Coturnix japonica: one gene and its partner. The protein of the gene in region 1 interacts with the protein of each later gene in a pairwise test. Links are inferred from orthologs where the notes say so. Each region holds a gene or a part of one and is shown in the gene's direction. Other genes may lie near its edges.

Region 1 (4,317 bases):
AGAACAGCTGATAACATGAAATTAGAGGTGTCAGCTTTTTGCAGTGAGAAATTGCTAACCTTTGTGACAAGCCTTTGTTTAGTAGTGTCTTCTTGATTAAGACAAAGGAAAGGCTTTAGAAAGCAAATGGCATTACAAACAAGGCAGTGACAAACCTCTTTATGGTATTTCAGTTTCTCTGTTTTATCCTTACATTTTTCACAATGTCAATATTGGATGTTAGTGAATTAATGGCTGTTCCTATGCTCCGCTGCTTTACAGGCTGAGCACATGGTGGTTCTCAGCCTGCACACCCTGCACATTGTAGTGATTCTTGCCAGCTCATATGTAAATGTGCTTATCAGTGAGACCAATTATTTGGTAACTGATGGCAAAATAGTGGGGGGAAAGAAAAAAGAATTTTCTGACACGTTTTTGAATGTTAAGTCACCACATAGATGCTAAGTCTAAAAGATTGCAAGCTCTTTGTCTAACCTGAGGCATGTAATTAAGGGAGCTGTTAATGAGAAGCAAGGGAGTCATACCTCCAAGTAGATAAGAACAAAAGGCCTATCCTTCATGCCTCCAGGCTACAAAATGAAGCTAAAATAACAAAAAGAATGCTACTCACAGGATGACAGATGTACAGAAAATGGAAAAGCAGTGAAGGACAACCATGGATGCTGGACAGTAAGACCACAATGAAGGGAACCTGACCTTTGCACGAGGTATGCAGTTCTTGTGCTCACAAACTTCTGAGTGTATCCAATATCCCCGAGCCCACACAAAGAACAGCTGAGACTCGGAGCAACTACTCAGTTTCCTTGGCAGTGTGGCAAAAGCCACAGAAGTGCCTGATCATCTGCAGGCTGGGGCTGAAGATGCTGGCTATTTTCAAGCATCCCACACAGAGAGGGTTAGGATTGCAGCCCCTCCTGCATGTGACATGTTCTCCTCCTATTGCTGTGATGTTTCGTACTATTACATTAAGTTTTCTAGCATGTAACAACAGTGGAACAGGCTACATGCTGAATAAACACCAGGAAATTTCCATTTCACCTTTTGTTTGGTTTTTTGCTTGTTCATTTGCTGAAGTTGGATGCTGACACACCAATTCCCACGTCATTAAACTGTGCTTTTGGTCAGGCTGAAATACTGAACTTTGATTTTTAAGGTGAACTCCTCCAAAAGTACAAGATAATATTTGAGCCAGTTCAGCCCTGCAGAGACCAATTTGAAGACACACTGAACCTCAGCTTACAAAATAGCAGCTCCAAGTGGTGCCACATGTAGCTGATTCTGACATGACACTGTGTCTTTGCATGGCAGGATGATGAAGCACCCTAAAATTAGCCGTCTTACTATTTCGTAAAGAGCAAGCAGAAAGGTAGCAGGCTGCACTGAGGAGAACAAAGAGGCATGGGAGAGGACAAGAACTGAGGCTCACGCACAGACAGGTCCCACTACTTCATGGTGAGAACTCTTGGCTTCTTTGCAAATTTCCATCTTGCTCTGCTTAGTGTAATTTCTTATCCTGAGCACAGGGTGACCTTAGTGTGAAAGAAGAAAGGCGATTATGCAAGTGGTGGTGGGGATTTGTTCTCTCAGTGGGCTTGGGAAACAGTAGAGAGGAAAACTACTGGTGAAAACAACAGTGATGATCTATTTTCTTTCTTTTTTCCTTTTTTTTTTTGGGTGGGGGGGGGTCAAGGAGGAGGTGGGGAGGTGTTGGGAGGTGCAGAACTGGCATGTAATTCACAGAATTAAGGTTGTTGTTCATCGAATTGAACTGAGAATAAAAGAAAAAATAGTACTGTTCTGGGATCCAGAAATATCATGATAAAGCCCCCCATCTCTGCTGAGCCAGACTGATAGTTAAAAGACATTCAGTTCTCTTTCCATCCCATTTCTTGGGCTTTGCAAAGAGTAAGATTTGAGAGAAATAAACTATATGGCAATGGGAAGGTAGGCATGGATGTTTTTGGGTACAAGAGTAAAGGAAAAGGTCCTGGAACAACATGAAATTTGCAAATAAGGGGGAAAAAATAAACTGTAAGGAAACATTTGAATACCAGAGGGCACAATAAGCAAAATAACTAATGAATGTTAGGGCTGATTGCTGGGAGAGAAGAAAGACAGCATGATTCCCTAGGAAGCAAGGGACTCAGCCACCAGTTCTGTGCGATAGTCTGTGTGGCTCTGTGCCTACATGAGTGTCAGGACCTGCTTTTTTCTCTATTGCTATGGTAGGACATTGTGGAAAAGTAGATGGGAATGAAATAATTGACTCTGAGGCATAAAATGTGACCAGACCTATTTCTGCTTGGAGCTCTCTCTCACAAATATGGGACTGTTCTGTGACAGAGGTATTTCTGTTTGGTAAAGATGGTTAGATAGCACTGTTTGCAGCTTTCATAGTTTAATTTAGGATGAGACTAATGATTTCATGGGTATTACTGAAACCCAGAGGGACATGATACTTGAAGATCTATTTTGGTGCAGTTAGCAAACGATATTTGGTACAGCATGGACTGTGCCATTGGTATCAACTTCAGTATAGATTTCTGTTCAAAAATGTATTAAATATTCACTGTGGATGAAGACTCTTGGATAGGTGGAAAATTAGATTTTTCTTGCACAGGTTATTAAGGGCCTCCAGAGAAATGATATGTGAGCAGACTGAGACTGGAGTGCTTGGAAGAACATAACTCTTTATTTCCTATAATATGTTTCAATATTAGCATTGGAATAAAAGATTCCAAAAAAATGTTGATATGATTTAGGAGAGAGAAGCACAGTAAGCTGCACAAGATCAGCAATCAATAACTTATAACTATGTGGAAAAATGGAATTATTACTGCTTCCCAGTGCACAATTCACATGCAGAAAAATTTAATGACTCCTCATGTTACTGGAGATCTTGCATCCCAATAATTAACAAGCTACCATTTAGAAAAGGAAAATTGCCACAATGTTTTGTTTCTATTTAACAACACAGGAGTTGTGCAAGATGCTGACAATTTTGCAGTTGATTTTTTAATGAGCGATTTAGAGACTTATCGCCAGAAAATCATGGGATAATGTTTTTAGAAGACTGTTTCTTTGTTTGTTTGGTATGCCAGCACAGGAAAAAGTGGCTTCAGTTTAAAACTTCAAGCTTGTAAGAGGAGGCCAAAGCAGCTATATATCATTTTCAAGCAGAAATAGTAGAGCAGCCACCTGTGCCAAACCTCCATTGCATTTAGCTGGCATTTTTTTCTTGGATAAGGAGGGTGGTATCAGTGACTCATCACCCTTGTCTGACTGACGAAGGCTTTCTTGTTATTGATGTCAGCATGCTACTAGGGCACCACTAATTATGATCACTGATCCCAAAGAGAACTGGTTAGTTGAGGGGTACTGCATTATCCCCGCTTTACACAGACATATTTACTTATTTCCATAAAAGAATGATACACAGCTATTTCCATCTCCTAGGCAGGGCTCTAGAGCAGCAAGATGACCTTTAAACACACACAGATATTACTCTGAGAGTAATCACTGTAGATTCAAGAGAAATTGTTTCTGAGACTCCCTTAGGAAAAGGCCCAGCATTTCCACACCATCAAACTGAGACACAACAGCTTCTGTACACCCCATGACCCAGTGGAGACATCCAAAACCATACAGACTGCCAGCATGAAACTCCAGTTTCATCACAAAACACTTCCATAATATTTTTTATCTTGTAAATTTGTAAAGCTTTTAGCTTCTAGACTTACAAAGCTTTTAGCTTGCAAACATGTACAAAATATTGTGACTAATGTGACAAAACTTCTGCAAATACAAGCAATTCAGCACAAAGAATAATGCATGTTGATAAGCTTGCAGCAATTTCAGCCAGGAAAACACTCCTCAACAAACAACATAAATTTACAAATTAAATTCCTCTCAATATAACAATATATATATTTTTTTCCTTTTCACTTTTCCTTAATTAACCTAATGCTTATTTGGCAAGGTAGATAAGTGGTTGCTTTGTAATAAATGGTATAAAGAAATCACTTTTCCTAAGAAGCAAATGACATATGATCTTTATATTTTTCCCAGCCTCTTGTTCAAGCTTGAGCCCCTAAATAGCTCTTCACCATTATAAATCTGCTTGGGTTATCTTCTGAGTTTATAATAACCATAAGTATTAAAATAGTATGTTTATAACTCTAATAATCCCCACTGCAGAATTATAATAGACATGAACCTAGAAGTATTTTGTTTATGACCAGTACAACTAGTCATAATTTCCAGTGAGTTATAACAGCAAAGATCTATTGTTCAAGATTGCAGTATCTGCTCATGTTC
Region 2 (4,290 bases), about 8.6 Mb from region 1:
ACTGTATTTCCACTAACCTTTGCTAGGGAAGAGGGCTAGCCACTGGTATAACTACACAGTCCTTTGAATTTTACATCAGAACATAACTCACCAAGAAATACATAACAACCAAAATTTAGCTGTGTGTTTTCCCTTGATCTTGATTGACACACTTATATGTCTAGAGCTACTAACTTTACAATCCCAATCCAATAAGAGACTGGGGAAAAGACAGCAATGCAGGGAACCAAATTATTCTCTTTCCACTTTTAATTCAACACCTGGCATTATTAACAGTTCTCATGCTCACTGCTATTTATGATACAACAAGTTTTGAAAGCCTCTATCTAAACCAGATCACAAGCAATAGAGTTCAGACTAATAATGACCAACAGTCTGGGAAAAGAGGAGTAATCCAGTAAAGCACTGGAGCATTATAGGGGGACTCTTTATTTTCTTTTTCCCCCAGATGGCACAGGTAAGATGAAACTCCCATACATGAATAGTCAGCACTATCCTAAACTTTTGGCAAGGCCCTAACAATTACTCTAGTGTTAAACTTAATCATAACATCCACTAAATTTAACAAGTTATCTCTTTGAACATACTTAACAAGACATCCAAAACATTTCCAAAAGCTATGAAGAGCTGTGCTGCAGCACAGCATCATGCAGCTTCAGCACAGCAGCTACCTCGCATTCATTTGCCAAGTGCTATAAATGGGAACTTTGGTACTGACAGCAATAGGTAAGATCAGCCTTGAAATTACTCAGCAACCCGATTTAACTGCACTGTGTTCCAGTCAGACTGTAAGGTCCCAATGGGGAAAGCATATCCTCCCACTCTGGCAGCTCAGTTCCCCTGCTCATGGGGTGCTGGTGCCTGCTCAGAGTGGCTCCTTCCAGCATAGCCTTTCACAGCTTTCTGATAGGTCTGATAAATGCTGGTGAATGGAAATGCAAGAAAATTCTGAACAAAAAGGATGTTCACAACTCAATGGCTTTTGTCAGCATAGCAGCAGCTCAGTGCCAGTCACACAGGGAGTTACAGTGAGGTGGCCTCATGGACTTGACTCAAACCCTGAGGATGCCAGCAGGGGATTGCTCTGGGGATGTAGAAGACCTGCCTGCAAACATGCTTGCCCCAGCTACCCACAAAAGCACACCTAACCAGGCACAGGCTGAACAAGGCCTGCAGTCAGTCTGCCACATGCTTACCCATGTTCCCAGGGGGTGCCTGCTGCGGTCATCAGACTAATGCTCATAACATGTTTTCTTTACAGGTGACTGGGAAGAAAACCGATGATAAAGATACCAGCAGCTTCCTGCCTGAGGACTTCAAAACTGGAGAGTATGAAGCTGAAGTAAAATTAGAGAAGCAAGATGACCTAAAGACAGCTTCTGATCACCTACCAACCCAAGCAGATATGGGTCACGCGAAGAAGCAGCATGAGGCAGAGGTAGGCTCTTGGATTTCATACTTGGGTTTTTATCATATTTCATACACTTTTTCAGTACTGTGAAGTTTCTCCTCTTTTTAAATTAGAAATACATGCATGGTGGGCTAGATAAACAAGCCCCTAGGAATTGCTGCCAAACAAAGTTGGTCTAACGCCCACTGAACGCAGAGACATGCTGACTCCTGCAGCCAACTCATGCAGGCAGTAACTCTAAAGCAGAACCCATGAACAAGAATTCATCTGGAAAAAAAACCCATACCATGTGGCAGGACCTCACCAACCTATTTACCAATATATTACTTAAAGATGCCAAGGGATAGAATTTGTCGTGAGGTAACTCTTTGTTTTGAATCATTCTTCCAAAGCCAAGGTCACCTCATGGTACCTGAAATCTTATGTTTCAAAGACAACACACTTGTCACTGATGCCAGCAGCGCCCTGTACTCACTTCATGCAGGGATGATTTGAACAAGGAGGCTTGAAGAAGACTTAAACACTTACTGAACTGTCTCTTCAAGGACATTGGTGGCATTCTTTCTAGTTTACCAGAATACAGCACTTACTGATTGAAGTGCTAAAATTGTTGTAAATCACATATCACATACTTCATTTAAGGGAGTTGGGTTTTTTTTTGTTTTTTGTTTTTTTTTTATAAATCAAAGAGAATTAAGTAACAATAAATCAGTGGCTACCACATGAAAGTGGTTGAAGGCAAAATGATTAGTGGAAGCCAGTTAAACCTGCAGGGGCCTCTCAGTCCTTATAAGCTGCAGATATCTTAAAATATTGGTCCAGAAGGGAATGCAGGGCTGCTTGGACTCCTGGCCTTCAACAAGCAAGAAAATCTCATGATATCCCACAACATATGGCTGAAGAAAGTGTTTAGGAAGAAGTACAATGGCATATGAACAAGCTGTAAACTATGCAGAATTTCTCATATACTTAGCAATGTATTCTAATGGTCCATTAGCCATAGACCTAGTACAAATCAAAACAAAACAGCAACTTATTTCAAAATTAAGCCAGTCTGGACTGGATTCAACTGAATGGTAGTACCCCCGTCCTGCCACTCTGGAGGGAAGAAGTGTTCGATCTCAGCTCAAACTGCTGCCTCTCCTAATTTGTTTCAGTTGAAGAAAAAACTACAGGAGAAATCAAAACTCGAAAGCTTGGAGGACCTTGAGAAAATTATTCAGCTGAAGAAGAAGAAGAAATGCAGGAAAGTGAAAGCTCCCCTTTTAAAGGAACCCGAACCAGAAGTCATTGTAAGTTTTGCTGTGAGCTCCTTTGGGAAAGGACCAACGGGCTTTTGTGCCACTTGTATTCATCTCCTGTATATTTTTCTCCATTAGACAGGGCCAGTGGATATAGCCATGTTCTTCAGAGCTGCACTGGAAAATAAGTTGCCAGTAATTGAAAAATACTTGTTGGACAAAGGGGATCCCAATGTCTGTGATGAGGTATGCTCTTCTTTCCTACTTTGCAGCCTGCTGCACAAGAAGGTTTATTACAGAACAAAAATAACTTCCACCAGTAGGTTTTATGGTATGCACAGTTTTGAGGAGGAAAGAATTGGGAGTGGGGTGAGATAAATAAATTCGGGAATTTTAACGTATTATGTATTCCATTGAGAAAGGGGCTGCTGGGATCCTCCTAAACAATATTACTTCAAAGGAATCCTTAAGTTTCAAATTAGTGACCAGGAGACCCTGATTTTCTGTAGCAGTTGAACTTCTAATGCTACAGATGAACAGACAAGAAATCTGTCTGCAGAAATACACACAAAAAAGCAATGCTGCTTGTATTCCATAGTGCATAAGCTGCATTTGCAAAATATTGCACAGCGTGTTGGATGGAGGAACTCAACAGGCATCACATTTTAAATTTGAATGCCACACTGCAGATATTCCTCACACCCTTTGAAATGCTGGATAGGCAGCTCACTGCAATTAAGATACTATTAAAATTTAGGAGATTTCAGGTCTCGAAAGCATTAGCTCTTAAAAATGAATCAGCATATCACGTAGATTTGCCATCATCCCAGGGAAGCAGAGATAAAAGATCTAAAAAGATCTTTCTGTGCCATATTTGATATCTGACTTGGCACTGTTTTAATTGACAGTACAAGCGTACCGCACTGCACAGGGCATGCTCTGAAGGACATCTAGAGGTGGTCAAGAAGTTGGTGGAAGCCGGAGCCCTGCTTGAACTGAAAGATATGGTATGTCCATCAACATGTGCTTCAAAAAAATTGCTCATTGTTTTGTAACTACTAAAATAAACACACAAGAAAAGCGCTAGAAAGACTTTACAGTATCTTCCAAGTTTATAATTAGAATAATGCTGCTGAGAAGAGGTTTCAGGAGGGGGTGTCTGTCTTGCTTGGCCAAAATTGTTGAAGGAAAATACAGGAATTAGAGGAGCATGTTCACCAATAGATCACCACAAACCATAAAGCCCTGAGAAGGGTAGGACAGCTGAAGTCAAATTACCATGTCGGGCTGTGAGCAGGTGCTGGAGGTAGCAGGGTCCCATTAAGGGCCCAGTGCACAGTATGCAAACTCCACCAGGAGATCCCTGTGCGCAGGAGACAGCCACACTGCTGAACACTAGCAGTTGTTTTTTCACTCCTCCTCTCCCAGTTCTTAGTTTGTTTGCTAAATAGGTGGCATTGGCCAGCCTTACTCCCCCTCATTCAACCAGCCATGCCCACAGTACTGTCAAATCAGAGGAATGGCAAGCAGAGCAACACCCACAGGTAAGAGGCAGCCCTTCCAGCAGAGCTTGGCTGTGGGGAAATAGGTGTTGGAGAGGTGGAGGGCAAAGATGATGGGCTGCTAATTTAAATGGCT

The links.
Region 2: the proteins of MYPN (region 1) and ANKRD1 interact in a two-hybrid assay, tested with the Homo sapiens proteins (2 studies listed by BioGRID). The link is inferred for Coturnix japonica from reciprocal best matches to the Homo sapiens genes MYPN and ANKRD1.

Annotation. Positions count from the first base shown.
Region 1 is NC_029521.1:8,506,565-8,510,881, forward strand, and holds the start of MYPN (myopalladin), read left to right. Parts: upstream 1-1,235; 5' UTR 1,236-1,452; intron 1,453-4,317. UniProt on the Homo sapiens protein: Component of the sarcomere that tethers together nebulin (skeletal muscle) and nebulette (cardiac muscle) to alpha-actinin, at the Z lines.
Region 2 is NC_029521.1:17,070,713-17,075,002, reverse strand, and holds the start of ANKRD1 (ankyrin repeat domain-containing protein 1), read left to right. Parts: upstream 1-1,183; 5' UTR 1,184-1,198; coding exon 1,199-1,438; intron 1,439-2,568; coding exon 2,569-2,703; intron 2,704-2,790; coding exon 2,791-2,898; intron 2,899-3,560; coding exon 3,561-3,659; intron 3,660-4,290. UniProt on the Homo sapiens protein: May play an important role in endothelial cell activation. May act as a nuclear transcription factor that negatively regulates the expression of cardiac genes. Induction seems to be correlated with apoptotic cell death in hepatoma cells.